2 linked regions of the Rhinolophus ferrumequinum genome follow. The protein of the gene in region 1 purifies or fractionates together with the protein of each later gene. This does not show direct contact. Links are inferred from orthologs where the notes say so. Each region holds a gene or a part of one and is shown on either strand. Other genes may lie near its edges.

Region 1 (14,834 bases):
ACTTTAAGGTGAGGCCCCTTCCTCGCTCTCACCCCACCTGGGGGGGGGTGTGCAGGTGACTGGCCTGTCCACCCCCGTGACATTGCCATCCCCTCTCCCTCCTCCAGACAGAGCATAAATTAGAGATCACCATGCTGTCCCAGGGCGTGTCCATGCTCTACTCCTTCTTCATGCCAGCCGCCAAGCTCAAGGAACGATTGGATCAGCCGTGAGTTGGGTGGCGGGGAGCCTCGGCTTGCAGCTGGCCCAGTCCTCTTCCCTGCCCTTCGCCTCCTCGGCCCCCACCCACCTGCCCTTCCACTGGGCTTTCTGCCTTCCTGACCCTCTGCTCCCCTGCCCCCAGGATGACTGAGATCGTAAGCCGTGTGTCGAAGCGAAAGCTGGGCCGCCATGTGCGGGCGCTGGTGCTTGAGCTGTGCTGCAACGACGAGAGCGGCGAGGATGTTGAGGTCCCCTACGTACGATACACCATCCGCTGATCGCCATCCCTTCCCGTAGACTGGTCCCAGCCCCCGTCTTGAGACCCCCCTCCAGCCCAGGGCTCCCATTTGACCTCTGGCCGTAGCCCAGCAAGCCAAGCCTGGTGTTCCCTCCTCTTCCCCCTACTTGAACCCCTCTTGCCATTGCTTCCTATCTTGTTCGGAACCTAAATCCTAATAAAGAATTATTAACCCAGACGTGACATGCCCTGCTGGTTCCAGGGAAGGAAGGGGCTTCCTGGTTCAGATGGTAACCCAGAGGGCTTGGCCCCACCCCAGCTGCCAGTTTCCTGGGCAGAGAAAATGTGGGAATTGCCACCTTCTTCCTCCTGCCCTCCCTGCTTAGGAAGAAGTAGAGGCACCAGTGAGGCCATAGAGAGCAGCTACCTGGGTCCAATTTATTTGAGCTGAGTTACAGTTCCTCTTTTTTCACCTCCTTATTCCCTGCCATATTGATGTTGGGTCAACATGGCTTATATCCTTGGGGCAGATACCTTTCAGCCTGGCTCAAGGCACTCAGACCCTGGACATGCCATTACCATCATGATTCCCAATGCCAAAAATGCCTGTGATGCCCTTAGTTCAACTTCCCTGCTGCAGGGAGGCCTAAAGAGCTCTGCTGGACTGAGGAATGCCAGTGCCTGTGCATACTTCACAGTTTTTATGAAAATATTTAGCTGAGAACACCTGTAGAGGAAAAGCCCCTTTCCCGGCCCAACTTACCCCATGGCCTGGTCTGCCTGTCCTGAGGGACGCCAGAGAGGCAGCTCTGGGGGCTGTGGGTTGTGATTGGTTAGAGCAGGTAGTGGGAGCCTCACCTCAGACCCCAACAAGACTATGTTCCATCTTTAGTCTTGGCTGAGCACTCCAAACAGTTGAAAGCACCAGTCTGGCCACCTGGTGCCTGAGGATGCCACTTATACCTCTGTCACCCAGCCACTTAGACTCATCCCTTCACTCAAACCTGGGTCCTGGGAATAGCACAACCTATCCCTGAACCTGACCTGACACCCATCACAGCCTGTCCCCACATCCACTGCCTGCTGGGCCAGCTTCAGACCGCAGACACCATGTATGCCCTGGTCTACCTCCCTCATGACCTCATCCTTTCACACTTCTTTTTTATTTCCCACCAGGACACTGGACTGAGGTGCTTTATTTCTGGCATCTAGTTAGTGGTGATGCTAGCTGTCTAGGTTAAGTGCAGATTTTCCATTATTGCTGCTCTAGAGTACTCCAAACATTCCACACCTGTCTCCACTGTTTCCACCGTTGCAGCATCTGAGGCTTGCGCACACACTTACTTCCTCTGCCCCCTTTCTCCACTATTCCAGCTCCTTGCGTACTCTGTAGACACTTTGTTCACTGGATCTTACCCATTGACAGCTCCTGATTCCCCAGATACTTAGTTCCTTTCTTCACCACCACAGCTCCTGGATCCCCTTGCTACTTGATTCACACCTGACACCCTTCATCAAGAACCCATAATTCCTGCTTGCATTTTATTTCCCCAATATATGCCATTGTACTTCTCTGTCATGTTTGTCTACCCTTATAACACCATAACACCAGCAAGATAGGAGACCAGGGCTCTGGGCATGGGTTGGGTGGCTGCATTGAGCCCCCTGCACCTAGCAGGCACCAAGGACAGGATGGGACAAGGTGGTTTCCTCATGTCTCTGCCTAGGGCTATTTGCCATTCAGGCATTCAACAAACATTCGTTGAGTACGTGCTGTGTGCCAGGCACATCCTAGGCATTGGAAACCACAATGGATCAAAAAGGTCCCTGTCCTGGGTGGGGGTGGAGGGTTATGTTCTAGTGTAAGACCCAGAATAGACAACAAACAGCAAAGTGTATGTTGGAAGTTGATAGGTGCTATTCAAAGGTCTGTAGAGCTAAGTCGAGATCTGGAATGATGGGGCAGGTAGGCATTTTTCAAATGACAGTAAGAGAAATCGTGAAGAAGGTAGCATTGAAGCAAGAAAACATTGAAGTTTAGAAGGTAACATTGAAGCAAGAAAACATTGAAGTTTAGAAGGTAACATTGAAGCAAGAAAACTGAAGTGTAGAAGGTAACGTTGAAGCAAGAAAACATTGAAGTTTAGAAGGTAACATTGAAGCAAGAAAACTGAAGTGAAGAAGGTAACATTGAAGCAAGAAAACATTGAAGTTTAGAAGGTAACAATGAAGCAAGAAAACTGAAGTGAAGAAGGTAACATTGAAGCAAGAAAACATTGAAGTGAAGAAGGTAACATTGAAGCAAGAACGTGGAAGAAGTGGGTGAGGCCTGCGGGTATCTGGGGAAAGATCATTCCAGGCAAAGGGAACAGGAAGTGCAAATTCCCTGAGGTTGGATTGTACTTGCTTTGTTAGGGAACAGCTAGGAGACTAGTATGGCTGGAGCGGATTGAGAGGAAGGGTAGGAGATGAGCGATCAGACGAGTGATAGACATGATTGTCCAGACCGCGGTGGACTTCTTTGTCAAATACAGTATTTTCACTCCCATCGTGGGTAAATCGCCACTAGTATAAACCTTACTGAAAAACTAACTGGTGTGACGAAGGCTGCCATAAAGGGAAGCACGGAAGAGACGGGGGAGCTGGCTTTGGACTGGGGTGCAGTGTAAAGATGTCCCGGAAGGGCTGCTGAAGGCTGCGGCCATTTGAGCTGTGCTTGATGATACCGTAGTGTAGTTTTCTTGGCAGAGGGGCGAGGGATTAGGTCTGCGTGGCAGTGTTGACACACAACAGGCCCCCAATAAAACAAAACAAAACTGCAGAGCCAGGGGAGCCACGGAGGGCTGTGGCAGGCAGAAAAAGGTAGTTGAGAAGTGGCAGGAAAACCCAATTCAGGGTGCTTACCCAAAGCTCAAGTGAAGCGGAAAAGAGGCCGCGTCTCCTGCCCCAAAGTTCCAAGCATGCGCAGTAATGCCTCTAAAGGTCCGCCTTTCTTCTCAGTCTAGGCTCCACCCCGTGAGCATCCTAGGGAGTGGGCGGGGTTAAAGGCGGGACCAAAGTAGATTGAACGCTCTTTTGACCAATTACCTAGCGGGATATTCGGCCTCCGGTGACAGGAGCTCAGAACGAAAAGGAGGGCCCGCCCCCTGACGGTGAAAACCAATGAAAATCAGGCAGAGGCGTGGTATGGCGGTGAAATCACGCCTCTTCGGTCCAGCCACGCCCTTCATTCTTGCACTGCCTCACCCCAGGGAGCAAATCCGATTGGCTGGGTGACAACCTCAAAGGGCGGGGCCGGTTCACAGTGGGAATGAGCTAGCGGTGTGGGAGTGGGGGGGTGGGGGGAGAGCAGCAGGGCGGGGCTAGACTCTGCCCTACCTAAGGTGATAAAGGCCAATGATTCTCCCGGCCGCCTCTCCTAGAAAAGTCATCTCGCGAATCTTTAAAATTCCTGCCTACCGAAGCACCTCAAGGAACTAGGACTGACTGCCTCATCTTTTTCTTCCTTGCAAAAGTCCCGTTTGCCACCATGGGGGATGTACCAAGTGAGATCGAGTAGGGGGAGCGAGTGGTGACCGGTACGCTGGTTATTGGCTGCTGCCCACTTCGGCGCTAGCAAACTTCCAGCAAGATCGGAACTGAGTACTAAACAATATCTACACTTCCCTCTGGCGCCGTTCCAGGGCGGGCGCCACATTCCCTGGTGGGCGCGCAATGGCCGCGCCCCCTCCCGCTGCGGACGGGTCTTTTGGTACGTGCAGTCCGAGGTGAGTCCCCTCCCTCCACTTCACCCTGTCCAGCGCGTGCGTGCGCATGCGCGGAGCGCGGCGCGCGCGGCGGTTGGGTCGTTGGCAGTTCGGCCCTGGGATCCGCCGCGTCTCCACGGGCAGTCGGCTCTGAGTCGCGCGCTGCTGTGAGCTCTCGGATTCGAGCCGGCGCCGACGGGCCCGGGGGCGTCGCCCGCAGCGGCCAAGCTCATGGCCGACTGAGCGGGACGCCGCCTCCGCCTCAGCCACCGCCGCCGCCGCCGCCTCCTCCTCCTCAGCCGGCGGCGGCCCGGGCCCAGCAGCCATGGCCGAAGACTACTGGGACGGGCGCCTGCGGCGAACTGGAGGAGGAGAAGGAGGTCGCGCGGCCTCAACCCGGGCCGCCGCCCCAGGCGCCTCCGCGCCGTCCCCGCGGCGTTGAGGTTGTTCGCGCGCCCCCGCCGGTGAGTGCGTCCCCGAGACGTGGGGTGGAAGCTGCCCTTCCTCCTACAGAACCAACCCAGGCCCCGGGCGGTGCCCAGGGGTCTGGACTACACCGCTGGCATGGGCCCCCTCCCTCCAGCGAATTGCCCAGAATGCACCGGGGCCGGGGGGTCATTCAGGGCCTCCCTGACCTTGGCCCCGCCCTGGGCCGGGTCTGGGAGCTGGGGGTGGGAAGTACTGTGGGTGCTAATGGGGAGCGGGGTGATCCAAGGACCAGAGGGTGTGGAAATGGGTGGCAGGGTGGTGAAAGAGTCGAGATTTGCTAATGGGGGCCTGAGCTGTGGAGGGGTCGGAGCATGTGGTATAAGTCTTAACCGCTGTGTAAGGTTTGGGGCCCAGTATGTGCTAATGGGGGGCGAAGGCGGTGGAGGGACCCAAGCGTGTATAATAGGGGACAGGATGTAAGAGAAGTGTTGGGATATACAAATGGGGTTCTATTTGTAGAAGGGCCCTCTGTTAACGGGGGAGAAGGTGGTAGAGGTACCAGATGTGCATATAGGATCAGGGCTCTGAGGCCCTGTGTGTGGTGATGAGGGTCGGGATGGTGCTAATCCTGTGTATTTGTCCATGAGGGACCGCACTGTGTGAGGGTCTAGAGTGTGCTCAGGGAGGGCCGGGTAGCAGAAGAACTCGAGTGTTGAGAGTGTGCTAATGGGAGTCCTAGCTGTGGAGAGTGTGTGCATGTGGTAATAAAAGTCTGGGGAGTATGAGCCCCAATCTGTGCTAATAGGGGCAGAGTGGTGGGAGACCTGAGCCTGTGCTAATGGTTAGAGTTGTGGATATATGGGGGGGGAGGGGGCAGTGGTGACGAAGGTATCTTAGCACTGTAAGAAGTTCAGTGTATTCAGGATCAAGATGGTGTGAGATCAGTGTGTGTCCATGAGGACGGGATGCGAGATTCTAGGACGCGGTAAGGAGAGGCAGGATAATATATGAAGTTCGAGTAACTGCTAATGTGGGTTTAGAGCCATGGAGGTGCTCAAATGTGTGTCAGTGGGGGGAGAGTCAGATCAGTATGAGGTCTGGAATATATGCTAATGAGACTCAGAACATTGTGAAGACACTGTGTGCTTGTGTCCACGGGGGCGGGGGGGGGGGTTGGGATGTGTCGAGGTTACAGGGCGTGCTGATGGGCGATAGAACTGTGGAGGGTTTCTGTGTGCAATAAGAAGGCTCAGGGCTGTGAAGGGATCCAAGTGTGAACCAATAGGGGTCATAGCTGTGGACAAGTTGAAGCAAAGAGAAATAAGGAATAGGAATATGTGAAGGTCTAGGTGTGCTAAAGTGGATTAGCGCCCTGGATGGCTGAAGTGTGTGCTACTGGGATTCAGGCTCAATGGAGACCTGTGTGCACTAATGAGGGCCAGGCCGTCGTAGAACAGTGTGTTTGAGTGTCCCTGGGGATAGGGCTGAGTAAGGGCTCAGGGTGTGCTACTGGGGAGGCACTGTGAGGCCCAGTGGGTGCCAATAGGGTCAGGGTGAAGTGAAGGTTCAGCTTGTGCTGATGGAGGTGGCAGGGGCAGAGCAGCGGGAGGGCCAGCATGTGGGTTAATGGTGGTCATCGCGGTGGAGGGGTCTGCGCGTGGGCAAAAACAGTCCGGTCAGGGATCTACACGGTTCACTTTGTGTTAATGGGATTTAGGGCACGGGGAAAGTTCACTGAATGCTAATGTGGGTCAGCTGTAGAGGGTCCCAAGTGAGTGTTAATGGGGAGTGAGTGCTGTGGAGAAGCTAACAGGCAGCTGGGCCTGAGGGGGGCCCAAGAATGTGGTGGTGGTAAGAGTTAACTTAGAAGGTTCTGGTGCTGTGTTGGGACTTTGTGTGCTGATGGGAGTTAGAGATAAAGGGAAATTGCAAGTGCTGATAGCAGTTAAAATACAGAGAGGCCTTCTTGAGGGTCCAGTGTGTACTGAAGGAAGAGGACACTGAGGGACCGGTGTGTGCGTGTGGGGCCCAGACAGGCTGTGGATACCGTGTTCCTGTGGCAGTGAGTAGAGTGCCGTGACTGTCCTCACTGGTCAGTGTGGTGTGAGGTGGTGGGTGTCCTTCGGTATGCAAGTATTCAAGTTTTACTACGTATTAATGTTCAAGTGTGTCTGTTCACAGGGGCCCACCCAGGGCCCTCCTGCTGGGAGTGCTGCACGATACAAAGATTTTGTACCCCATCTTTCTAACATCCCCCCAAAAACTGTCCAGCCCTTGGAGTTTCCAGTTAGAGGTCATGGACCCATGGCTCCTTCTGGCTCCCTCATCATCATCCATCAAGCCCTACTTACAGTCTTCCCCCACACACCCCGAAGTCCCGCATTCCCTCCCTCAACAGACAGACTGGGTATCATACCGTACGGACATAAGAGAGTCTTTGGGGGCTGGTTATGCTTCACCCTCCTCAGCGTCAGGTCCAGTGTTCAGCCTCCTGGGTCAGGATTTTGTTGTTGTTTTCCTGAGTTCTCTGAATGGACCTCATCGTCTTTACTGAGGTTTTTCTACTAGACTGGCCCCTCTACCCCTCCTGAGGATGGTGAAGTCAGGCAGGCAGAAGCAGGGTGTGGGGACTGCTGGGTAAGCAGCTGATTTCAAGGTAACAGATGACCCACTTCTCTCCTCGAATCCAGCCCCAGCCACATCCTCGACCTCCTATCTAGCTTCACTTCCCTTGGGCCCAGGGCCATCTTAGGCCCTGCTGTGAGTCCAGATGGTTCCTGGGCCAGGTCTTACCCCCTCCTTGCTGGCCCAGAGCCCAGGAGGAAGCAGAAGACGGCCGGCCTAAGCCTTTGGTGGCCCCATTCCCTCCAGCAGCCCCATCTAGGTAGGTCATCTTCCTGCCGATGCCAGCGTCCCTGGGCCACCTTGTCAGGTTGTTCATGAGTAGCAGGGACTCACTCACCCTGGTGGAGGTTGGCCCTAGGCCCTCAGCCCCCTGATTCATTAATTTCTGCCATGAGCACTTTTTGAGCATCTACCCTGTGTCAGTCACTGTTCCAGGTCCTCAGGATATAACCGTGACCTAGACAGACAGAAATCTACCCTGGCGGAGCTGATCTTCTAGTTATGGCGGTGAGGAGACAGTAAAGAATAAAGAATCCAATAAGTAGATGGTGTCATTTCTGAGGAAGTGATGAGTTCTGGGGGATAATTGGCAAGGTAAGGGAGCTCAGGATGGTTGACATTTTAAATAAGGTTATTTGTGGAGGGTTATCTATGGAAAAAAGGTAATATTTGAGCAATGGCCTGAAGCGGGTGAGGGAGTGAGCTGTTTTTGAAACCTGAGGGAAGGGTGTTCCAGGTACTGGGAACAGCCAGTGCAAAGGCCCTGAGGTGGGACTGCTGGGTGTGATTGCAGACCGGCAACTAATACCACATTGATTAAGGGGGAGGTGAGGCCAGAGAGGTAATAGGGGTGAATGGAGTAAGAACGTGTGGGCCACATTGAGGACTGGGAAGTTTATTTGGGGTGGTAAGGGAGATGTGCATTCTCAAGTAGAAGAGAAATGTGACTTGCCTTGTAAAAAATATGGGTAGGCCCTATAGGTCTCAGCCTGACTGTACCTTTCCAGGAGTCCTGAGGACAGCTGGTGTGCACTGAGACCCACCCCACCCAGTCTGGGCAGGACCACCCCCCCGCACCCCTCACCTGGATAGACCAGTGGAACAGTCCACTGGTCACTGTGACAGTGGTTGCTAGGGGAGGTGGGAGGTCCTAGTGGCCACAGAGAGCAGTCTGCCTTGGCAGTTGGGGACAATGTGGGGCTGGTGCCAGCGGAACATGCCACCCTATGGGCATGCCCAGGGCCATGTCAGTGGTCCCGAGGTCCTGGGCGAGCCCCCCGCTCCACCCATGGCCAGGTCTATCACTGCCGCTGCACCTGAGAATACCTGCTGTGGAGCCCTCTGTTCCCACAGTGAGACTGCCCCCATAGAGACCAGCATGCCATCGGTTGGTCCCTTACCTTCAGCCAGCCACCCAAGCCTCAGTACCCAGGTAGGCTCCTTAGGATCAGGATCCCCAGGAGCTGGCCATAGGTGGGCAGGCACTGACAAGGGTCCCCATTCGTGCCAGGTATCCAGGAATCCTGAGTGGTTCCAGGGCTCCACAATGGTTGGGTGGACACCGACACAAGTTCGGTTCAGTGTGTTTCACTAGATTGTCATGGGTTTTAGGGGGCCCATGGTAGTCAGGCAGAGGCTAACATGGGACCTGTTCCCATCCGTACCCCCTGCTCAGGTCGCCATGGATCGGATGAAGAAGATCAAACGGCAGCTGTCAATGACACTCCGAGGGGGCCGAGGTGTAGACAAGACCAATGGTGCCCCTGAACAGATAGGCCTGGATGAGAGTGGTGGCGGCGGCGGCAGTGACCTTGGAGAGGCCCCCACCCGTGCCGCCCCTGGGGAACCTCGCTCTGGACGGGGACCACTCACCTCTGCACCAGGTAGGTCTACTGACCACTCTCATCCCTAGACTGGTCCCCAGGTGCTGCCTCCCTGTGGAGTTCCTCTTAGACTTGTGTTCTTTTCATTTTCTTTTATCCATTTTCTCTGTCTTCCCTGCCATCCTCTCAGTACCCTCTCTATCCATCTGTGCCCCTTTCGTTGGCTTTGTGCCCAGGCCTCAGGGTAAGGAAGGGTACCCTGCCTGCCAAAGCTGCCCCAAGCCTCCCTTTGCCCTTCTCCTGCACTCTGTAGTGGCCTCCTCAGGCCTCCTGGTGCCTGCCTGCCCTGGGCCTGCCTTCCAAGGGCCTTTGGCTACCTCTTCCTCTGCCTGCCCCCTGGCCTCAGGCCAGCCGGTGTCTCAGCTCACCCCTGGTACCAGGTGCTTCGCTAGGTGACTGTCCCCCCCTACCCCATTCAACCTATCCTGACCTGTCTGAACCTCCCTGGGCCTTGCCACCCTCTCCCTGAGCGCCGTATGCACACCTCTATGATGAGGGAATATATTCCATGGGGGAAGGGGTGTCTTGGGGCTCCTGACTCCACCTGGCCTGCCCTCCCCCTGTCCGCACCACCAGAGATTGTACACGAGGACTTGAAGATGGGGTCTGACGGGGAAAGTGACCAAGCTTCAGCCACGTCCTCGGATGAGGTGCAGTCGCCAGTGAGGGTGCGCATGCGCAACCATCCCCCGCGCAAGATCTCCACTGAGGTGCTGAACCCCCTGTCCGGGTGCTGATGGGACTGACAAATAGGGTTGGACCTGGGGAGGTGGAGCTCATGGTCCTCTTTCTCCTCTGTCTTAACCTGCTAGGACATCAACAAGCGCCTGTCACTACCAGCTGATATCCGGCTGCCCGAGGGCTACCTTGAGAAGCTGACCCTCAATAGCCCCATCTTCGACAAGCCCCTCAGTCGTCGCCTCCGCCGTGTCAGCCTGGTGAGCATCTTCTTTCCTCTCCTCTGTTCCCCTTCCTCCTCCTCTTCACCCTCCTCTCCTCCTAAGTCCCCTCCCCTGAGCCTGCTTCAACCTGCCTCTTTTATCCCACAGTCCGAGATTGGCTTTGGGAAACTGGAGACCTACATCAAGCTGGACAAGCTGGGCGAGGTGAGGGACAGCCAGGAGGCCCATGATGGAGATGGCTTCAGTGGGAACTCGCTGCAGCCTCGAGCTGCTTTTCTGTCTCTCCTCCTCACTCCCCAGGGTACCTATGCCACCGTCTACAAAGGCAAAAGCAAGCTCACAGACAACCTTGTGGCACTCAAGGAGATCAGACTGGAACACGAAGAGGGCGCACCCTGCACCGCCATCCGGGAAGGTACAGACATCCGGGAAGATGCGCTCCAGGCTTCCCGGGCTCTCCTCCTGGTGCACGCGCACACACACACCCACACACCCATAGTGAGATCAGACCCTGGGGGTTCTGGGACTTCCTCCTGACACTCGGGGCTTCCTGAGAAAGTACCCATTACCCGTACATCTAGGTAATAATCAACGTAACCAGGAATCTGTTCCTGTTTGGGCGAAAGAGGCAGATGAATTGGAAAGCAAGATGCTTGCTGTGGTGCTGAGAGCTTCCCTGAAAGTGCTCGACAGTTTACTTGGTGCAACAGTTCGAGTCAGAACATCACATGCATTGAATTCTAATTACATAGAAACTGAGTATGCAAACTCAGTTTCACGTGAAGCTGCAGGCCTTTGTACTGAGGATTGGAGCAAGGCCCCATGCCAGAAACCAAAAACTGGTTGTGAAAATGTAGTGTCACATAAACCTGGGGCTGCAATCCCAGGGTCTTTCGTGCTTTTAATTTCCACATCTGGAACGTGAGAACACACCTGCCTGGCATTGGGTGGGTTAGAGCCACCACCCCAAACTGCACAGGGAAAGGAGGAAACCCTGGGCCTGTCACTGTCTAGTCCTAGTCTCTGTCCTGAGGGTGGGTCCCTGACTCTTCCTCCTCCCACCCCCATGCTTCCTGCAGTATCCCTGCTCAAGGACCTCAAACATGCCAACATCGTCACGCTGCATGACATTATCCACACGGAGAAGTCCCTCACCCTTGTCTTTGAGTACCTGGTAAGGTTGGGTGGCAGTGGGTCCCAGGGGGAGGTGGGGAGATGGCCGGGAGCCAAAGAATGTGACCCTCTTTCCACTACCTGCTTTTCTTTCCTCAGGACAAAGACCTGAAACAGTACCTGGATGACTGTGGGAACATTATCAATATGCACAACGTGAAAGTAGGTGTGGGGCAGGAAGCAGGGGCACAGAGGGGCCCTACTCACCCACTCCACCCACAAATCTCCCAGAAATGACTTTTCCCATTTGGCTTTTCTGCTGGGAACCCTTGGAGGGCATTGGGACCCCGTCTTCTTTTGTGAGACAAGGCCGTGGGCTCAGTGCCTGTGTTTGGGAGGGGAAGCAGTGCCTGCTGGGAGTCAGGCTGCTGGATACTCGTTGACCTCTGCCTGTTGTTCCTGGGTCCCCAGCTGTTCCTGTTCCAGCTGCTCCGTGGCCTGGCCTACTGCCACCGGCAGAAGGTGCTACACCGAGACCTCAAGCCCCAGAACTTGCTCATCAACGAGAGAGGAGAGCTCAAGCTGGCCGACTTCGGTACCCCTGACCTCTTCCTTCTTCCCAATGATCCCCAGCCTTAGTCTCCTAACTTCTCCCTTCCCCATAGATAGACCACCTAGTCTCAGGTCCCTTCAGCCTTGCCAGGCTTTACTTAGGACACCCTCAATTTTAACTGCCCAGGACTTTAATTCCAGCTGTCCCTTCTCTCCACCTACCAGGCCTGGCCCGGGCCAAGTCAATTCCAACAAAAACCTACTCCAATGAGGTGGTGACACTGTGGTACCGGCCCCCCGACATCCTGCTCGGGTCCACGGACTACTCCACCCAGATTGACATGTGGTGAGTACAGGTGGAAGTGTGGCAGGGGCTGTGGTGAAGAAAGTAGCTTGGTCACAGTGGCCAATCAGCCAGCTGCCTCCCTATTCATTCACTGTGCCCTCCCTGCCCAGGGGTGTGGGCTGCATCTTCTATGAGATGGCCACGGGCCGGCCCCTCTTCCCCGGCTCCACGGTGGAGGAACAGCTGCATTTCATCTTCCGCATCTTAGGTGAGGAGGCACGAGCCCCAGGAGCTGTGGGCACATGCAGGGAGGCCCTGTGAGATGCTTAGGGTAGTGCCTCTTCCCGACAGGAACCCCAACTGAGGAGACATGGCCGGGCATCCTGTCCAACGAAGAGTTCAAGACATACAACTACCCTAAGTACCGCCCTGAGGCCCTTTTGAGCCACGCCCCCCGGTGAGGCTGGTGGGTGGCTGGATGGGTGTCAGAGGCCAGAGTGCCAAAGCTCAACTTAAAGCAGGTCCTCTTGTCTTTGCGGTAGACTTGACAGCGATGGGGCCGACCTACTTACCAAGCTGCTGCAGGTGAGACCACCTTCCTGGGCCAGCCTTGGGGGCAGGGGGAATTTCAGGTGTGGGGAAATGGGGAGCTCCAGGGGTAGGGAGGAAGAGAGAGGCCTGCTCTGTAAAAGTGCCAGTCCTACCTGCCCTCCTCCACTCAGTTTGAAGGTCGAAATCGGATCTCCGCGGAGGACGCCATGAAACACCCATTCTTCCTCAGTCTGGGGGAGCGGATCCACAAACTTCCTGACAGTGAGTGGTGCTGGGGAATGCACTAGCTGGTGGGCAGTGGGGAGCAGGACTGCTGCGAACAGCTGGGCAGGTTGGCTAGAGCTCTGGCTCAGCCACCTCTGAGGGGGTGCACCCTTGTTCCCATATGTGATGTGTTTATTACAAAAAAGTTACTTAAGTTTTCAGTTCCTTTTACCTCTCATGGAAATTGTCAAGTGTACATACAAATAGATAGAATATTACTTTATCTTTTTTAAAAGTAAACATTTCCTTGTAAATTATATACTGAGAAATGCACAGATCATAAGTATACTGCACAATGAGTGTTCACAGACTAAACACAGACATGACATGTGTTTACAGGTCAAGAAACTGGATGTAAGAGGTTCCCCTGAAGTGCCCTCTCGATTCTTTAGCTATTCCCCCCCACCGCCGCCCCAAGGGTTAACACTAGTTTGACTTCTAGTGGTGTGAATTTTTCCCTTGTACTTTGCAGAAATGGAATCAATCAGAGGGGGTGTTTTCTTTTTGCATCTAACTTTAAAACGTTAACATGGATATTTAAAAATTAAGTACATTTATATATTAGACCAAATAATAATAGGAGTCCCCAAGAACTACAACAGGTTATCAACTCATGGCCAATCTGGTCTTATCTATTAGGTTGATGCAAAAGTAATTGTGGTTTTTGCAATTATTTTTAACCTTTTAAACCACAATTACTTTTGCACCAACCTAATATATTCCCTCTGATTATTTTGAGTCAAATCCCAGACACATCATTCATTTATAAATTTCAGCATGTATACATAAAATATTTTTTTAAACATAACAACATCATTATGGCACCTAAAAAAAAAATTGGCCCACTTACCTCTCCACTGGACTAATATAAATCAAATCCCAAATACCATCCATCACCTAGACTTAACAGGTGGTAATTGCAATACCATTATTACACTTGATAAAATTAATAATGGTTTCTTGGTGTCATGTATTAGTCCATATTCCATTTTTCTTAGTTGTACCTGGTTTGTAGGATTATTTGACAGGTGAAAGTCAAGTCTCTCAAAGAAAAGGCAGTTTTTTCCCCCCAGTAGAGCCATATGGGAGGTGGTCCTGGATGGCCTTGTAGCTCATTCCCTACTTCTGTCTCTCCTCCACCCACAGCTACTTCCATATTTGCACTAAAGGAGATCCAGCTACAAAAGGAGGCCAGCCTTCGCTCTTCGTCGATGCCTGACTCAGGTAGGTGTGGCTCTTACCCTCTTCCCTGCCCCATCCACCTACCTGCTTGTCCACCAACAGCCATCCGCTCTGCTTTTGCCCACAGGCAGGCCAGCTTTCCGTGTGGTGGACACCGAGTTCTAAGCCGAGTTCTAAGCCACAGACCCAGGCCCCAGCAGGCAGCAGCTGGAGGGATGCCATACCCCTCACAGGGCAGCCCCCAACTGCATCCTCCCTGCTTGCCACCTGCCTGACTCATGCTCACCTGCCCACATGTCCCCTGCTGCCTGTCCAAACACCCGATCATTGGCCTGTCAACCCACCCATTGGCCTGTCTGCTGGGTGCTAACAAAGCTCTCAATGCTCCTTCGCCTGGTCTGTTTGTCTCTTTCTCTCTGTCTCAGTAGTTGCCGGCGGACAGCATGGCCGTGCCAGCCTCCCACATTGAGGCCAGGCCTGTACCCCTCCTCATCATGCCCTCCCCCAGGACCACTCACTACCCCTTGGCTAGCCAGGGGGCCAGAGCTAGCCCAGGCAGGGGTTCTCGACTCAGACAAGGTGTGGCGATGCCTTGGGTCTGAGACTGTCCCTGCCTGCTTTCCTGCCTGCCCCACCTGCCTCATGTTTTGTGGGCCGTTTGTTTGTTTGTTTGTTTGTTTCATTCATTGTTTTTTAATTATTTTAAATGAGGTTTTCATTTTTTAAATGCAATATCTCTGTATACAGACTGGCTGGGCCCCACCCCCTGCGTGTGGCCCTTCCACAGTATTTTGTGCAATGAAGCCCCACTCCCAGCCTTTCCAAGGCAGGGACACAGCCCCTATTCAAAACCCTGACCAT
Region 2 (15,455 bases), on another chromosome or scaffold:
CTGCGCCCTCCACAACTAAGATTGAAAGGACAACAGCTTGACTTGAAAAAAAGTCCTGAAAGTATAGTCCTGTTCCCCTTCCCCAATAAAAAAAATCTTTTAAAAAAAGGACATTTACATTTGTAAGAAAATCATCTATATGGGTGTTTCCCTCACTTTACCAGGCCTGTCTTCAATTTCAATAGAGGACCCCAGGCTTAAATCTGTTTAACACTTTTACACTTGTTTTCTGTGCTTTTCCTGGTAACTTCCCAAAACTGACTCTGCATCCCTAATATATCAGCTTTTGTCTTTGGCTGAAGGTGGTATTTAAGGTGAGGGCTTACGTTAACATTTGGTATGTTACTTAGTGTTCCTGAGTCTATCCCATGTATACAGACGTATACATGTTATTACACCTTAATTTTTATTTTTCTCTTGCTAATCTGTCTCACTGTTAATTTAATTATTAGTCCAGCCAGAAGTTTGAAGAGTAGAGGGTAATTTTTCCTCCCTGACATTACCATTGACCAAACATTTTAGAACTCCCTTTTTATAACAGTATAGCCTGTCAAGCCCAACTTTTGAGCCCGATGAAAAACATAAATAAATAAAACTAAAATTTCTTTACAAAATCAAAACTAATGTATAGAACGTCAATGTTCTGACAAAGATGAAGAAAAAAAGATTTCAAGGTTTTCCACTCCACCGATTAAAAGCAACCTTCCTGGCAAAGCAAGAGATGCCCAGAGTGAAGCAGATGGGAGCTGACCCACCAGAGATATCTCTGTTCTGAGTCACCAAGAAACTTTCTGGGCAAAATCTTGCTGATCCGAGGAATCTGCCAATGTGTGTGTTGTCAGATTGATAATACTCAATTTCAACGTTAGCACACCTCTTTTCTCCCAGCTAACAGATAGCAAAAGAAGCCTCAAAAAACAGTAAAGGAAGGGAGTCATGGGAAATAGCTACAAGCAGCTGAGAAAGGGAAAGTGTGTTACCTTCTGATAAAGATTAACTGGGACTTTAAATAAACATAATCAGTCAGTAGGGTCAATGGGAGGAGCTAGGGCTTATGGGACGAGTTCTCGCACTCTATCCTTTTCGCTAGGGAAACACCTAGTTGATATTGTTTTTCATTGGACACTTATGCACTCTCTGCAACTGTGGATCTAGTCAGTTAGATTCTTTCTTGAAAAAAAAATGGGCTCAAAGAGGCCCCAGTAACTTGCTTAGGGCTTCCTGAGTTCATTTTTCAAGCCATCATTTCCCTTTACTTAAAGCAGCATTTTAATATAATAAAGCACATTAATTCGTGCCTCAAAACCTTATTCTTTGAAGAATTTGTTTTTTTTTAAACCCTGGCCTCAGCCTCCACCTAAGGGTACATGTGACATTCCTAGGACCACGACTCCCTTGACAGGGCCGGCAGACTGCCTGGGTAGGCTGTTATCCTCAGGGGCAGGGGAAGCTTTTGCAAATACTTATCCCAAAACTCAGTGCCTGATACCACAGTGTGACTTTGGAAAGATGCAACCCAGAAAAGCAACAAATGCTAGAAAGAGGACGAGTATTTCTATTCCAAATCCTACTGCCAGCAAGCTTTCCATTCGAAGGCCAGACAGCTCTATAGAACCTCCTCCCACCAGGCTCTAGGACTGCAGTTATCCTCTGGCACTACCGTGAATACTGATGTCTCTGTCAGGATGAACCCCTCACTCAGGCTGCTTGCTGGCTGCTATGGACAGTTCAGTTTGTTGTAGATCGTGGAACACACTTCATATTTAATAAGTGAAAATCAACATGAATGCTATGTTCATATCGACATACATTCATCTGGTAATTTTTGGTTTATTAAGCGTTTTAGTCTCATTGTGATCCTCAGTTTAGGCACCTCGGGACACAAGGCAAAGCAGTATTTTTTAAGCATTTTTTTAGCAGAGGGGAAAGTGAGGCTCAGGAGGGAGGCCCCACAGTAAAGGTGGAGTCCCGTGTGGAACGCAGGTCTCCTGACTACAGGGCTCCCGCGCTCTGCCTTCCACCAACTTCATAGAGCTGGCGGCACATTTTGTAAGCCCCCGGGGGAAGAGCCCTCCCCGAATTTATTTCCCTTGAGCTCCTCCTCCCTCATTTTCAGGAAAGGTAGGATAGAGCACAGAGAGGAAATGGTCTCCAAACAAGACTCGCGGCAACAAACTACTTAACATTTCAAGATGATGCAAATGCTGAGCGGAAAGTGAACTTTCTCCTTCCTTTCAGCTCCTTCACAGAAAAGGATACTTACTGAAAGTGTGGGAGGGGCTGACACCCACTGTTAGTGCCAGGGACCTACTACCCTGGTTGCCTAAATGTTCAATCATGAAAGGATTTGGACTATGAAATATGACAAGTATGATACTGTCAACAGCTCTCTTGTGAAAAATACCAAACAATACTTCCTTAAAGCAAGCCCAGCATGACCCTCACGGAGCTAAATCTCTGACCCTGTGTGATTAAAACGGATTTTTAAAACTACTAACATATCTTGCCCCTTGTCCTTTTTTTCCTTTTGGTTCTGCCCTTTTTCTGGGTAGGAATGGATTTGATCTTTGTGTTAGTTTCATCTAACCAGAAATGTGAAAGCAATTCATCTCCGTAAGATGATAGAGACAATCAGCTTTGTAGAAAAGGGTGAGAAAATCTACCATTCCACAAAATTATTTAATCTTCACTCCTCTCAAGAAGCAGGCAGAAAAGTAAAAATCCTAACCACAAAGAATTGCTAACCAGATGCATATAGGCAATGACTGGATCTCTTAAAACAAAGCAGGCATGGGTGGGATTCTAGACACAGATCTAATTAGCAGGGCAACTGAGGTGTGGACTTCTAGCAAGTGATGGTAGACTGAACCCCAACTCTGCCACAAACTAGCTATGGAAACTTGGGCAAATTTCTTAACCATTAAGGCTCCATTTTCCTCTCCTGTAAAACAGGGAGAACAATGTGAACATTAAAAAAGATAATATAGGTCAATAATTAACAGAGGTCTCAGCCCAAAGTTAACACACAGAAAATTCTACTACGTGCCCTTGTCCAGGATCTGCATGACCTGGGCGAGAGACTGCACCTCTCCAACATTCCATATCCTTATCTGTAAAATGAGAGTATGGAACGAATGGCTCCCTGATCGTAAATGAGAGGAAAACAAGGTAAGGAAGTGGAGAGGAGGTCATGCAGTTACCATCATGCTTTGAAGCATGGCTCTCTCCGCAAACCCTCTCTACACTGCCAAAACACCGCCGGTCCATGCTTGGTCGGTGTCTTCACGCATCTTGCAGGCAGCGTAGCTAATAAAGCTTTAGTCTGGAATGAAAAGTCCATGGGTACGGTTTTGCCCATCAGACTGGAAATATCAAAGTGGGACTGACACTCAAGTAAAAGAATGCCGAAGAGATGAGGTTAAGTATTGTAGGTTGCAGATACCCTAAGAAACCAAGAGCAGCACTTCAAGTTAATACTACAACAGGTAGTTCGATTTTAAATTGCTCCTTTGTGTCGCCACTGTGGTCACAGTGTTTTTCTGGTACTGCTTCCCACACACAGGATGAGCCCCACAGGCTCCTAGCTTCTCTGGATCTGAGAAGTTCAAACACCATTTACTATATAAACACAGTTCGTGTTTAATACAAAAACATCAACATGAGTGGTTATGTTCATAATTGCATATGTTCATCTAGTACTTTTTGGTTTGCCCAGCATTTTAGCCGCATTTTGATCCTTAAGGATACATAAGACCACAGCTAAAGCCATTCATCTGAAGAGACAAGGAAAAAAGACTAAACATAGCATATTGTTAAACAGATTTCCATTAGCCACAGTTTCCATTCAGTTTCGGTGTTTATTTTTTTTTTTTCTTTTATCATGCTTTAAAATCTTTCTTCCATTTCATTTTCAGGACTTCACCCTATCTGCTACCTCTCAGGATAAAATGCAAACAAAACCAGAAAGTTTCACATCCACCCTACTTTCATGATTACAAGTCTTGTGCATTCTCTACTTCCACCTGCTTCCTCTCACACAATAAGTACACATGATGAAGCTCTGACACTGATCTTAAGGGGCTGGTTTCGCTCATTCATTCAACAAATATTTATAGAGTGTCTTCAAGATGTCAGACACAATTCTAGGCACATGGTTACATCAATGAACAAAACAACGTTCTATTGTAAATTCCACGCTGGTAAGTAGCAATAGTTATTATTATATATGTACATACTTATACAATGTATCACAGGTGATGTGCAATAAAGAAACAGTAGTGTAGAGAACGTCTATCAGGATTGCCGATGGGGTAGCAGGAGTGACGTTAAACGGGGTGATCAGGAAGGCCTCGCTGACAAGGTGAGACGTGAACCAAGACTGCAGACAATGAGGGTCTTAGCCAAGAGAATACACGGAGTAGAGCATTCCAGGCAGAGACAGAGGAAAGGCCCTGGGGCAAGAGTGTGTCTGGTATGTTCAAGGAAGGTCCCTGAAGGAGGCCAGTGTGGTTGGAAAGAGCCAGCGAGTGAGTGAGTGAGTGAGTGAGTGAGTGAGTGAGTGAGTGAGGCAGACAGATCACAAAGGGGATTGGTGTCCACCGTAGGACTTTTACCCAGTGTGAAATAAGGAGTCACTGAAGTTTTTGAGAAGAAGAGTAATGTGTTAAGTTTTACAAAGGATCTCATTATAGCTGCTGTACTGAGAACAGAATGTAGGGGGCAAGAGTGGAAGCAGGGAGACCAGTTAGGTGGGCCATGATGATAGCTGCTTAAGTCAGAAGAGCAGCAGGAAAAGTTTTAAGAAGCGGTCAGACTCTGGGTATATTTTGAAGACAGAGGCATGCTTTCCTAGTAGGTTGGATAGGGAATGAGGGAAATACTGGATTGTCAAGGATAACAGTTAATCTACAAAGGATAAAGTTGCTACCAATCATTCTGAGGCCTAACTCCCCAACTGACACTAGGGTACAAGATATTACAAATATCCTGATTTGTTTGGTCTCATCGAATTTTAAATTCTCTTTAGTCCATCTGCCTTCTTCTCCTCTCTCAGAAATAATCTACTCAGGGAAGTCCAGTCTGTTGCAGAGAGATGAAGTGCCTTCTCAGAGAAACTATGGCTATATGGACACGATTGCAATGAGAGACAGCCTCCCCCAGAAGGCAACCCAACACTAGTTAATGCTTAATGGCTAGTCAAGCAACAATGGGAAACTTCCATTGGTCATTTGCTAGCTGTATGACTTTGAACACGTCATTTCTCCTCTCTCTGTCTCATTTCTTTGTCTTAAAGTAAGAATAATATTACCCACAAGGTTCCTGTAAGTACTAAATTAATGAATAGATGTCAAGCACTTAGACCAGCATCTGACACAGAGTATGCAATATATAAGGGTTGCAATTATTAGTATTATTGTTGTTCGGTGTTTTTGTTATTTCACAATCTCGTAATAATTTTATGAGGAATATTGCCTGGGGAGCTGATGAGTCTAATATAAATTCCAAAAACATGAATAACCTAACACTAAGGGACACTGAGTACAAAGACAGGGCAAGTTGCGGGTAGGTCTCATGGAAGCCTAACTGCCCTCTCAGTCAGTGAAATCCGGGGACAAATATTACCCATTGTGTGTCTGGCCAGGAAAAATTTGGGTACATACCTCATTCTCTGTGGTTTAAAGAAAATAACCTAGTACAGAAGCCCACAAACTTTTCTGAACCTTTCCATTCTTAGTTGTCTGGAATGTCTTTCAGAAATTTGGTGCTTCAGCCTTCAGCTTTTGTTATATACCACACTAGAATCAAGAATTGAGATGTAGTTTTAAAATGTTTACTAATCATCTAACAATAATACAACTCCAAAGTTAAAATATAGATATACATCTACATCCTATTTAACTTACCTGTTCTCTTCTCCAGCCTCTGACACTGAATGAATTTCTATGGAAAATGCCCCTAAACAAGAGCAGCAATTCTCAATTCTGGTTGCATCCTAGAACTATCTGGAGAGCTTGAAACATACTAATGCCAAGGCCCAGTCCTAGATTTCTGGGCTAACTGAAACCAGTGTTAAGAACTGCTGGATAGGTAAATCCCAGAAGTGTTATTTATTCAACGTGGAAAACAGAAAGAACATTGTTTAAATATTTCTGAGTTTAAAGTAGCATCATCATCCAAACAGGGCTTCGGGGTGAGAGGATACTACAGCCTAGATTAGAAATCTCCTTAACCTGACCTAGTCTCTTACACTGTCCTGAACCTCCAACACAAGAGTTGGTGGTCTTCCAAATGTTTTCTCAAAAGTGAATGACGACCAAATTTAGATTTTTATCAAATGAAAGAGCACACTACACTATTCTATTTTTCTCTGACAAAATCCTCGTAAGCTTTACTGACAAATAGCTGATTACAATTACTTTGTTTTTTCCCTACTATGGTCAATAACAGTATGCAGCCTGGCTCTAAGAAATGTGAACCTTCCTTCTGTTTGTATTTTTTAATCCATTATTTAAAACATAAAGCCTCTATCCATTATTACTGCACAACATAAAGGAGAAATTATTGTCAAGTGTTTTTGCCTATCAACATTGTATAGGACTGGGTAATGGCTTTCTATAATTAACTCATTCACTGATTCATTCCTTTAAAATACAATGCTTATTAAGTCTTTATTATATTCTAGACACTTCTTTCAGATAGGTGTTTGGGACCATAGTAGTGATCAAGACATACCTGGTCTTAATATCCTTCTAGATGCCTTTAAATTAATAAATTTAAAAACAAAGTATGGCTGTAGTTCAAGACATCTAACGAGTGGGTTAATATAATGGAAGTTTAAAATAACAACACTAGAAATGTCACGTGGAACCCTAACTTACTAAGCACCTACTATAAACCAGATGTATTAGTCTGTTTATATGTGATACTCATTTAATAAAGTTGCTGTCCTAAAGAGATGACATTACTACTAAAGGGAGATTAAAGGTGGCCAACAATCGAGAAAACCCTTTCCTTCAGGAGAGTGTAAATTTGGCTTTCCACACTAAAGTTTCCATCCTAAAGTTGACAAGAATAAATTATGACAGAGTTGTCAATTCATTCATACAAGAAATTTTTTCACATTAGTTCAATCGGATCAACTGTGAGAAGATTTCTAGGTTACAAAAGAAAAATCAAGGTGTCATAAAAATGTACTTCAAATTTCTTAATTGAAAATTACAGAAACTGTATTAAGCATGATGCATAAGCTACCCATCTGTAGATATTAAGCCACGTAGTTTATCGATAATACAGTACTAATAAAGATATCAATAAAATAAACATTACTAGGTGTAGTGATCAGTCTTAACACTAGTCCAAAGAGAAAGTCACTAAGATCAATCAGAAATTCACGGGAGTGTAATTCAGCCCCAAGCAAAAACCGGGCAACTTAACCCAAAGCAGTTTCCAAACCATTCTAATGATACTCTTAAGAAATTTTTGTAAGCATTCAGGTGAACCTATTTGATTCCAATCCCTCAATCACCCCATCCACCCCCAAATCCTTTTTGTTTTGCTTTTGGTTTTAGTTTTTAAAGGAAATGCTGCTGTAGAACAGCCAAATGGGGTAAATTTGTAAGTTTCCGAGGAGCTGACAGCGGCCAACCCTGTTCTCCAACTCTAGGTAGAAACAGTGACTCCAAAATGAGAATTCACTCCAGTTATGCCAAAGATCGTCCATTCTTTCTTTCCCTTCCCCTTTTAAAGGGCGAACGGGCTCACCCTTGTCGCGCATAAGTTGGTTGGGACTAGACCGTGCCTGGAACCCCGGGCTTTTGGCCGCCTCCGCCCAGCGCTGCCCCTTCACGTCTGCTGACAAGGGCTGACAAGGGCCAGCTCCTGTCACCTGGCCACCTGCACCTCTTCGCCTGCGGTACCCGAGCCCCGGCCGGCAGAGTCCCCCCGACTCCCTCGTGGGACAGGCCAGGAGGCCCCGAGCTCTCGGGTCCCGGGTCCCAGAGCCGGGATCAGAGAACCAAGCAGTCTGGCTGGCATACGCGGGTGTGCAGTCCGGGCCCCGCGGACGCGGGCGGGGTGCGGGTCCCCCCCCGCCCCGGGCCCGCCGCTCACCGTCTATGTTCTCCCGGTCGCTGATGTGCTGCAGGTTGCAGCCCGTATCCTCGCGGCTCAGGTCCGTGTCAGGCCGGTAGGACTCCAGCCGGGAGTGGGCATTCCTCCGGAGCTTGGGGCTGGACGACACGCAGCACGAGGTAGTGTTCCCCATCTTCGGCGGCCCGACTCCAGCGGCGCTCGCCTGGCTCCCGGGGCCCGGCGCGGCGTGGAGCGGAGGCCCGCCCGCCGCCGGGGACAGACGGAAGCGTGGCCCGCCCGGTCAGCAGCGGCGGCGGCGGCGGGGCCTCGCCATGGGCTGCAGGCGGGGCGGCGACAAGCGGGCGGCGGGCGGATCCCTCGGCCTCCGCGCCGCCCTGTCCCGGCGGGCTTGTCCGCGGCGGAGGAGCGCCCGGTCCGCGCGACTGCAGCCGCCGCGCCTACCTCACCCCGCCGCGGCCATGGCGGGCGCCGCGCAGGCCGCCTCCCCGCGCTTCCCGATCGGCGCCCGGGTCCCGGCGGCGGCGACGGCCTCGGCAAGAGGTTCCGGTTCAAGCAGCTGAGACGCGTGTCCGCGTTAGCGATCGTGGGCTACGGGCAGCGGGCGTGGGCGGGCGCGGCCCTCGGCCCGGCGCGGGGAGGCGCGGTACGGCCCGGAGGTTGCTCGTCGCCCGCCCCGCCCTGTCGCCGCCCCGTCGCCGCCCCTTCCCGCTGCCCTGGAAGCAGATCGCGGCCGGGAGGGAGGTGTGGGCCCGCGCCGCGCGCGTGTGTGGGGTCGGTGCCGCGGGCGCGCCTCATGCGGGCTCCGGAGCCGCGACCAAGTCGTGGGCGCTCCACGTCCCGATGCCCTTCCTCTCCGGCCTCCGGCCTTGCCTCCCCGGGCCTGACGCTGGGACGAGTGTTGTGTGGCGGCCGGGTCCTCAGGGCCGCGAGACCGAGGAGGGTGGGGTGCGGCCTGGGAGTCCCCGAGGCTGAGCTGGCCACTCTTGGGCGACAGGAATTGGGGGGGGGGGGGCCTTTTTTCTTTTCTTTCTTCTTAAGCTTTTAAAAGGAAGCTGGACCTTTATTTGGGAGTTCTTCTATTTTGAGCTTTGCGGAGGACTTGATAGTGACCTTGTTTTAAGCCCAGAAATAAATCTTAGGGTGCCCTGGGCTGTTTTAATGTCGAATTAGCTGCAGTGTTTTGAGTTCCTTGGAGGTTAACGTGAGGTAGACAGGTAACTTACCATCAGCTATCCTTGTTTACTTGTAAAATGCTGTTGGGTTTTGTGCAGGGGAAACAATCTGAACTGAGGCCACTCAAATAAGATAAAGGTAAGTGACACTGCCTGGCTGTGGGAGATGGTGGGTTCCCATTCCTTTCCCAGGCCCCCAACACCAGCCTTCACTAGTCCGTTTACCTGTTACCTGTCTTGGGAAGTGTATAGGTGGCAGAAATAACCTTCCCACCCTTTTCCAAATAGTCAATGAAGGAGTCATGAGGAGAGACTGGGGAAAAAATGTTTTTGAACCCGAAAAAACTTGGTACAACCCTCTTAATTTTTAAAATATAAAGAAATTGAGGCCCAGAGAATTGAAGTGCCTGCCACAGATCTCAGTACTAGTTAGTGACAGACAGGAACTAACAGGGAAGAAAAGTATGGGAAGTAATATTTATCTGGTATCAGCAATGTGTACATCTTGCCAAAGGCTTTATAAACGTGATTTCGTTTAATTTTTGATATCCAGCCTTTTCTTATAACTTGTGCTGCTCCTCTGTCTCTTGGTAATGTTTATACATTTATTAGACCATATTTTTAAAAAGGTTCACGATGGTAACTAGATTAACGACAGTCGGGATAAGTGGCGATGTCCTTGAGAAAAAAATGGCAGCCAAGTGCTGATGCTGACAAGATGAGAAAGGAAATGCAAAAGGGAAGTTCTGAAGACTTACAGCTGGGAAGAGGTGGGGAGATAGCAACAAGAAAAATTAATACTTTTTATTAATGCAGTTCGGACCCTCTTGCCTCCCAGGAAAGTTTGGGACATAACTACAAGTCAGTGAATGTGTATATTCAGATTTTCAGGGCTACAATATGTGGGTAAATGGCTGAAACTTGGGAAAGGGGTTACTATACTGTCAGTTCTGATTGCTGCTTTGTAATCCAATACTGAATATGCCATATGTGTATGGCATATTCACTTAGGTACATTATAGGTTACATCATAAAATTTATAATATTAATTAATTAATGACATGCTTTGAAGGGCTCAAAATGGGAAAACAAATAGCACTGAAGAGACAGCGTGGCTCTCATTCTTCCTGTTCTAGAGCCATCACCGGGCAGCATTAACTGGGAATAGCATCTGGAGGCAGGGGAAGACATGACTGGAGCTCAAGGTAGCCACACACTCTTGCCAAAGGATGGGATAGTCACTGGCCTGTAGGGACTGTTCTGTGCACTCCCCGCCTTCCCCCATCACACCTACCTATTCTCTGACATTCCCACTGTATTTCCTTTAGGGCTTATTCAGAAGTATGACTTTTGGTCAACAGGCGTGGGGAGGAAAGATAAGTGCTAAATCTTGACCAGTGATTTACCTGAGTGCCAACCACCACCCCACGCCCCCACACCCCACCCCCACACACACGCACTTCCAACTCCTCCAGGCAAAGATGGTTCCTGCTTGACACAGTGACACTTTAGGAAAGGTTGCAGAAGCAATGTGATGCCAAGATGATAATGAAAGGTGTCATGTATTGAATACCCGCTAGAAGCCAAGCATTGTACTAAGTATTTTTTACATCTAAGCCTATGTTGTTATCCCCCATTTTACAAATAAAGACACTTTAATTCTGATAATTAAACCTGTCTAAGGTAAAACTACTGAGAAATGGCTTACCTGGGGTTTGCACCTTGGTTCTAATTAGAGTCCATAAGGTCCCATCTGGGTTGCATCCAGCTTAACCTCCTGCCCCCACCTCTAGCTACCACTACCAATGGAAGCAGGGAAGCAGATTGGAGTAATGAGAGAAGAAATCTGCAAAAGTTTTGAATGGAAAAGAGACTCTAGTGTTGCTTCTCTCCTCTTCTGTTCTCTTGCTGAGGGGAGCTGGGAGTGACTGCTAAGGACTAGTTCTAGACTTGAAGAAGACAAAAGAGAGGGGAGCCTTGTTATTTCTGGGGCCTAACCCTTCTGACCAGAGTAAGTAGACAGTCAGCAACTATAGGGCAAAGCGTTATGCAGGAATTTAGCCAACTCTGACTTAGGAATCTAAATGTGCGGACACTTCTTCAATAGGGTAGATCTAGCCCAGGATTGGCGCTGGAGCGGGACAGGGAAGGTGAGCGTTGCAACCCAAGGCCCCATCCTTAAGACAGTTTTTCAGCCTTCTTAGAAAACATCAACTTAGATCTGATCAGAACCCACCATGCTCTTTGAGCAGAAAGAAACATTTGGTAATTGTTTCCCTTCATCTTTCTCCATTATTAATGTTTAAGAATTTGGTCAGTATAAAGAGGTAAATGGGGGACTTGGGTGAGCTAGCTAAGGCAGTGCTCTTCACATTTTTTTAGCAGTAGTAGCTTTTTTCTCAACAAAATTTTCAGTGGAACCACAATATTTAAAACATAAATGGTAAGAGTATTAAATAATTATAATATTTATTAAAACAAATCAGAATAGGCTACCTTGTACAGTCTTACTTCAGCCACACCTATATCCATGAAATATGAATCTGTCATTTGCACAACTCTGAATCACCTAGAACACATAAAACACTGAGCCAAGTGAACCTAGGACCTGGATGGACCTTTGGTGAAAAGAAGGGAAATGGGTAGAATCTCAGGAAAAAAAACCCTGCTCAGAGTATATCTGTCCTTTCTTTGTCACCAGGTAGCCAGTTTCCTGTGTCAGTTACTCAAACATTTGTAAAGCAGTTCTGGAATAACCAAGACCCTTTGTTGTACCACCAGTGCTGCTCCTGTCACCCTCTTTTTTTCTAATGACTTCCCCTCCAGATAAGGCCTCCTGTTAGTAGTGCTCTGTGGTAAGCAGTCCACAATGTAACCAGTTATGGGGAAGTATTTACTTTGATAGTCACTTGATCTTGACCAATTATACGTGATTCATTTATTGATAAAAACATTTAAAAGTACACTGAGCCAGGTACCATGGGGATACAAAAATGGATAAGATATAATTCTTGGCCTAGAGAAATCATAGTCCAGTAAAACAGTCAAAAGAACATGTTTAGAACATGTCCAGTAATTTGAGTTGATTGCATTCACTTAGTGGTAAAATCTGAAAAATGACAAGGCTGCTACCTATAAATATATGCCTTTATCACCTGTGGATATATCTATGAGAGATTTATAGCTACAAATTAAAGAATTATACCCAGAGAATCTGTCAGATTGAAAATCCTCACAAGCAATTAAAGATGGCAGGTAGATTTAAACACCAACGACACATCCTTTGGACCAGTGTAACTGCCAGGAACACTGTTGAGAAGGATTCTGAGGTCATGTTCCAGTTTAATGGAAAAATACTGCCATGAGGAAAGGAGGATGAGACCCTAACACTTAGGGGTGGACAGGTGGCTCAGTCGGTTAGAGCGTGAGCTCTGGGCAACGGGGCTGCCGGTTTGATTCCCACATGGAGGGCCAACGAGCTGCGCCCTCCGCAACTAGAATGAAGTCAATGAGCTGCCACTCAGCTCCCCGGTGGCCAGATGGCTCAGTTGGTTGGAGCGCGGGCTCTCAACCACAAGGTTGCTGGTTGGACTCCTCAACTCCCGCAAGGGAAGGTGGGCTGCGCCCCCTGCAACTAGCGCAGCAGCTAACAATGGCAACTGGAACTGGAGCTGAGCTGCGCCCTCCACAACTAAGATTGAAAGGACAACAACTTGACTTGGAAAAGTCCTGGAAGTACACACTGTTCGCCAATTAAAAAAATGTCCTATTCCCCTTCCACCCCCCGCCAAAGAAAAGAAAGAACCTAACACTTATGCTACATATTTCCTGTCTATGAGTAAAACCTTAGTTTATAAGTAAATAATGAAGCAGGAGATAGCCATAGTCTCTGGGTATCTGGGCACAGACCCACTTGGAAACGGAATTATCTAACTCACCACTGAGAATTCACCAGGTATCGCCAGGCTAAAGCCTTAAGAAGTCCAATCCCTCTTTTGCCAAACTCTATCTTCTTTATCCCTCTTTGATCACCATGAACAGAAATAGTAAGTGTATGGGTAATCTCTGAGAACTGAGATGTACTTTTGATTAGGCAAATTCCAGCATTTCAGCAGGGTCAGGCATAGGTCAGACTGGAGAGGCTGCTGCTTTCCTCCCCAGTGTCTCCATCTCCCTTAATACAGGGTCTCCATTTTGTGAGGAACAGCAATATGCCTGCCTCAAAGACAACAGCTGGCCACATGGCTAAGTTGGGCCAATGAGATGTGAGTGGAATCTTCCAGGAAAGTTCTCTGGAGAAGCTTCCTCTTTTCTGCTTCCTGCAATGTGGACATGATGGCTGGAATTCGAGCATGCATTTTTGAATACCAGGTGACCTTGAAGATGGAAGCCATGAACTAAGACAATGTCCCTGTACTCTTCTTTTACATGAGAGAAACTACCGTGTTTCCCCGAAAATAAGACTGGGTCTTACATTAATTTGTGCTCCAAAAGACACATTAGGGCTTATGTTCAGGGGATGTCACCCTGAAAAAACATACTAGGGCTTATTTTCCGGTTAGGTCTTATTTTTGGGGAAACACGGTATGTTTTTATAAGTCACCGTTATTTTGAACTCCCAAGTTATATGCAGCCAAACCTAATCCTGATCTGGCCAGTATTTGATACTATTCTTTGATAGAGATTTACGTATTCATGTTGACAACTTTCACTAATTGACCCCCAGATAATAGGGACTCTGACCTAGAACTGTGGAGTGTCATATTCACTTGGCTCCTCATAGGACAATCCAGGTTGGAACAGAAAGATGCAGTAGGCAGGCTCTGGAGCCAAGGTAGAATTTTGGTGGCACAAGAAAGTTCTTCCAAAAGGCAGATTAGTCCCCATGGAAATTGAAAGAATTAAATGCCCGCTACACTATTTTAACATAGCACTACTCCTTCGGTATTCCCCAAACTGAAGCCAAAGGTTCCTGGGAGGAAACCATCAATCTACCCTGGTCTATATGCTCAAGATCCTGGAAATTGATTTTCCTGTTCAAATAAATTTTTCTTTTCATGACCTCACTGACTATTTGGAAAGGGGTGGGAAGGTTGTTTCTGCCGCCTTATCCTCTTCGCAGCACAGCAACAAGTCTTTCTAGTCCAGGATGACTGGCGTTCGTGGTGCTGGTAGGGGATTTATTGAATGTCTCCCATGATCCGTACTTTCACCTACCTTTACCTTAGTCAACTGGCTTCAGTTCAGACCCTGTTCCCAACATGACAAAACCCGACAGCGTTTTAAAAGTAAAACAAGGATACTTAAAGACTTGTGTTAACTTACTGTCTCTGCCTCGTGTTTTTAACCCCCAAGGAACTCAAAACACTCTGCAGCGATAATTCAACATTCAAATAGTCCTGGGGACCCCAAGAGCAGCTAGGTAGATCCCACTGCAGTGGGCAGGCCTGTCACTGTCAATAGTTTCTTACTGTTTTTAGAATGCCACTCTGCCTGGCCTTCAAGTCACCTCTGTCCAGCTGATCAGAACTGCTCACAACTCACTCTCATTTTACTCATGTGACCTTCCCCCCTAAAACACTCTTCCTCCTTCCCTGCCCTCAACACCAAGTTTTTAATCCTACTTACCCTTCAAGGCCCAGCACAAGCACTGGTTTTTCTCAATCCTTCATGCTGGCGATAATAAACTCACAGATGTTTTATCTAAAACCATTTATCTCTTCCTATTTTTGTTGTGTTCATTTATTTCATCGTTCCGATTACACTGTAAGCTCCTAAAGGGCACCCACGCCTCCCTCACTCCTCTCATGCTCGCCACAGGGCCTGACACCTGAGTAAGACGTGGGCCGGTACTTGAACATGCTCCTTTTTCTAGCCCCTCAGTTTTCTGGTATTTTTCCTTCCTTTATGTAGGGCAAGAGAAGGACAGGGAATGAACTGGGGAGTGGAGAGGGGTGAGGTGTTAGTGATGACTGTGGAAAGTTGAGTTTTCACTGATAATTCCCTTTTATTACGTGGAGAAACTTTTGAGAAAATATTTTCCTCATTCTTTGCGTTGTGAAGCATTTGATATTCATAGAGATCTGCTGGCAATAAATAGCATTTATTACCTTAATGCTTTCTCTAGACTTGAATTAACTAGGAAAACAGCCCTTTTGAAATGGAGTTGTGCTTCTTAGAGCCTAACTCTGA

Evidence for each region.
Region 2: the proteins of CDK16 (region 1) and CCNY purify together in Homo sapiens (affinity purification with mass spectrometry; 3 studies listed by BioGRID and IntAct, counting the BioPlex papers as one, with this or other methods). This does not show direct contact. The link is inferred for Rhinolophus ferrumequinum from reciprocal best matches to the Homo sapiens genes CDK16 and CCNY.

The regions. Positions count from the first base shown.
Region 1 is NC_046284.1:86,675,556-86,690,389, reverse strand, and holds the start of CDK16 (cyclin-dependent kinase 16), read left to right. Parts: upstream 1-8,440; 5' UTR 8,441-8,455; coding exon 8,456-8,671; intron 8,672-8,914; coding exon 8,915-9,122; intron 9,123-9,698; coding exon 9,699-9,832; intron 9,833-9,934; coding exon 9,935-10,060; intron 10,061-10,171; coding exon 10,172-10,228; intron 10,229-10,324; coding exon 10,325-10,439; intron 10,440-11,103; coding exon 11,104-11,198; intron 11,199-11,296; coding exon 11,297-11,359; intron 11,360-11,608; coding exon 11,609-11,732; intron 11,733-11,914; coding exon 11,915-12,035; intron 12,036-12,145; coding exon 12,146-12,243; intron 12,244-12,326; coding exon 12,327-12,432; intron 12,433-12,496; coding exon 12,497-12,560; intron 12,561-12,697; coding exon 12,698-12,788; intron 12,789-13,937; coding exon 13,938-14,015; intron 14,016-14,100; coding exon of another isoform or gene 14,101-14,138; exon of another isoform or gene 14,139-14,398; coding exon 14,399-14,442; 3' UTR 14,443-14,834. Other genes in the region: UBA1 (ubiquitin-like modifier-activating enzyme 1), read left to right, coding at 1-8, 108-208, 344-479. UniProt on the Homo sapiens protein: Protein kinase that plays a role in vesicle-mediated transport processes and exocytosis. Regulates GH1 release by brain neurons. Phosphorylates NSF, and thereby regulates NSF oligomerization. Required for normal spermatogenesis.
Region 2 is NC_046288.1:5,983,749-5,999,203, reverse strand, and holds the start of CCNY (cyclin-Y), read right to left. Parts: upstream 8,395-15,455; 5' UTR 8,264-8,394; coding exon 8,110-8,263; intron 1-8,109. UniProt on the Homo sapiens protein: Positive regulatory subunit of the cyclin-dependent kinases CDK14/PFTK1 and CDK16.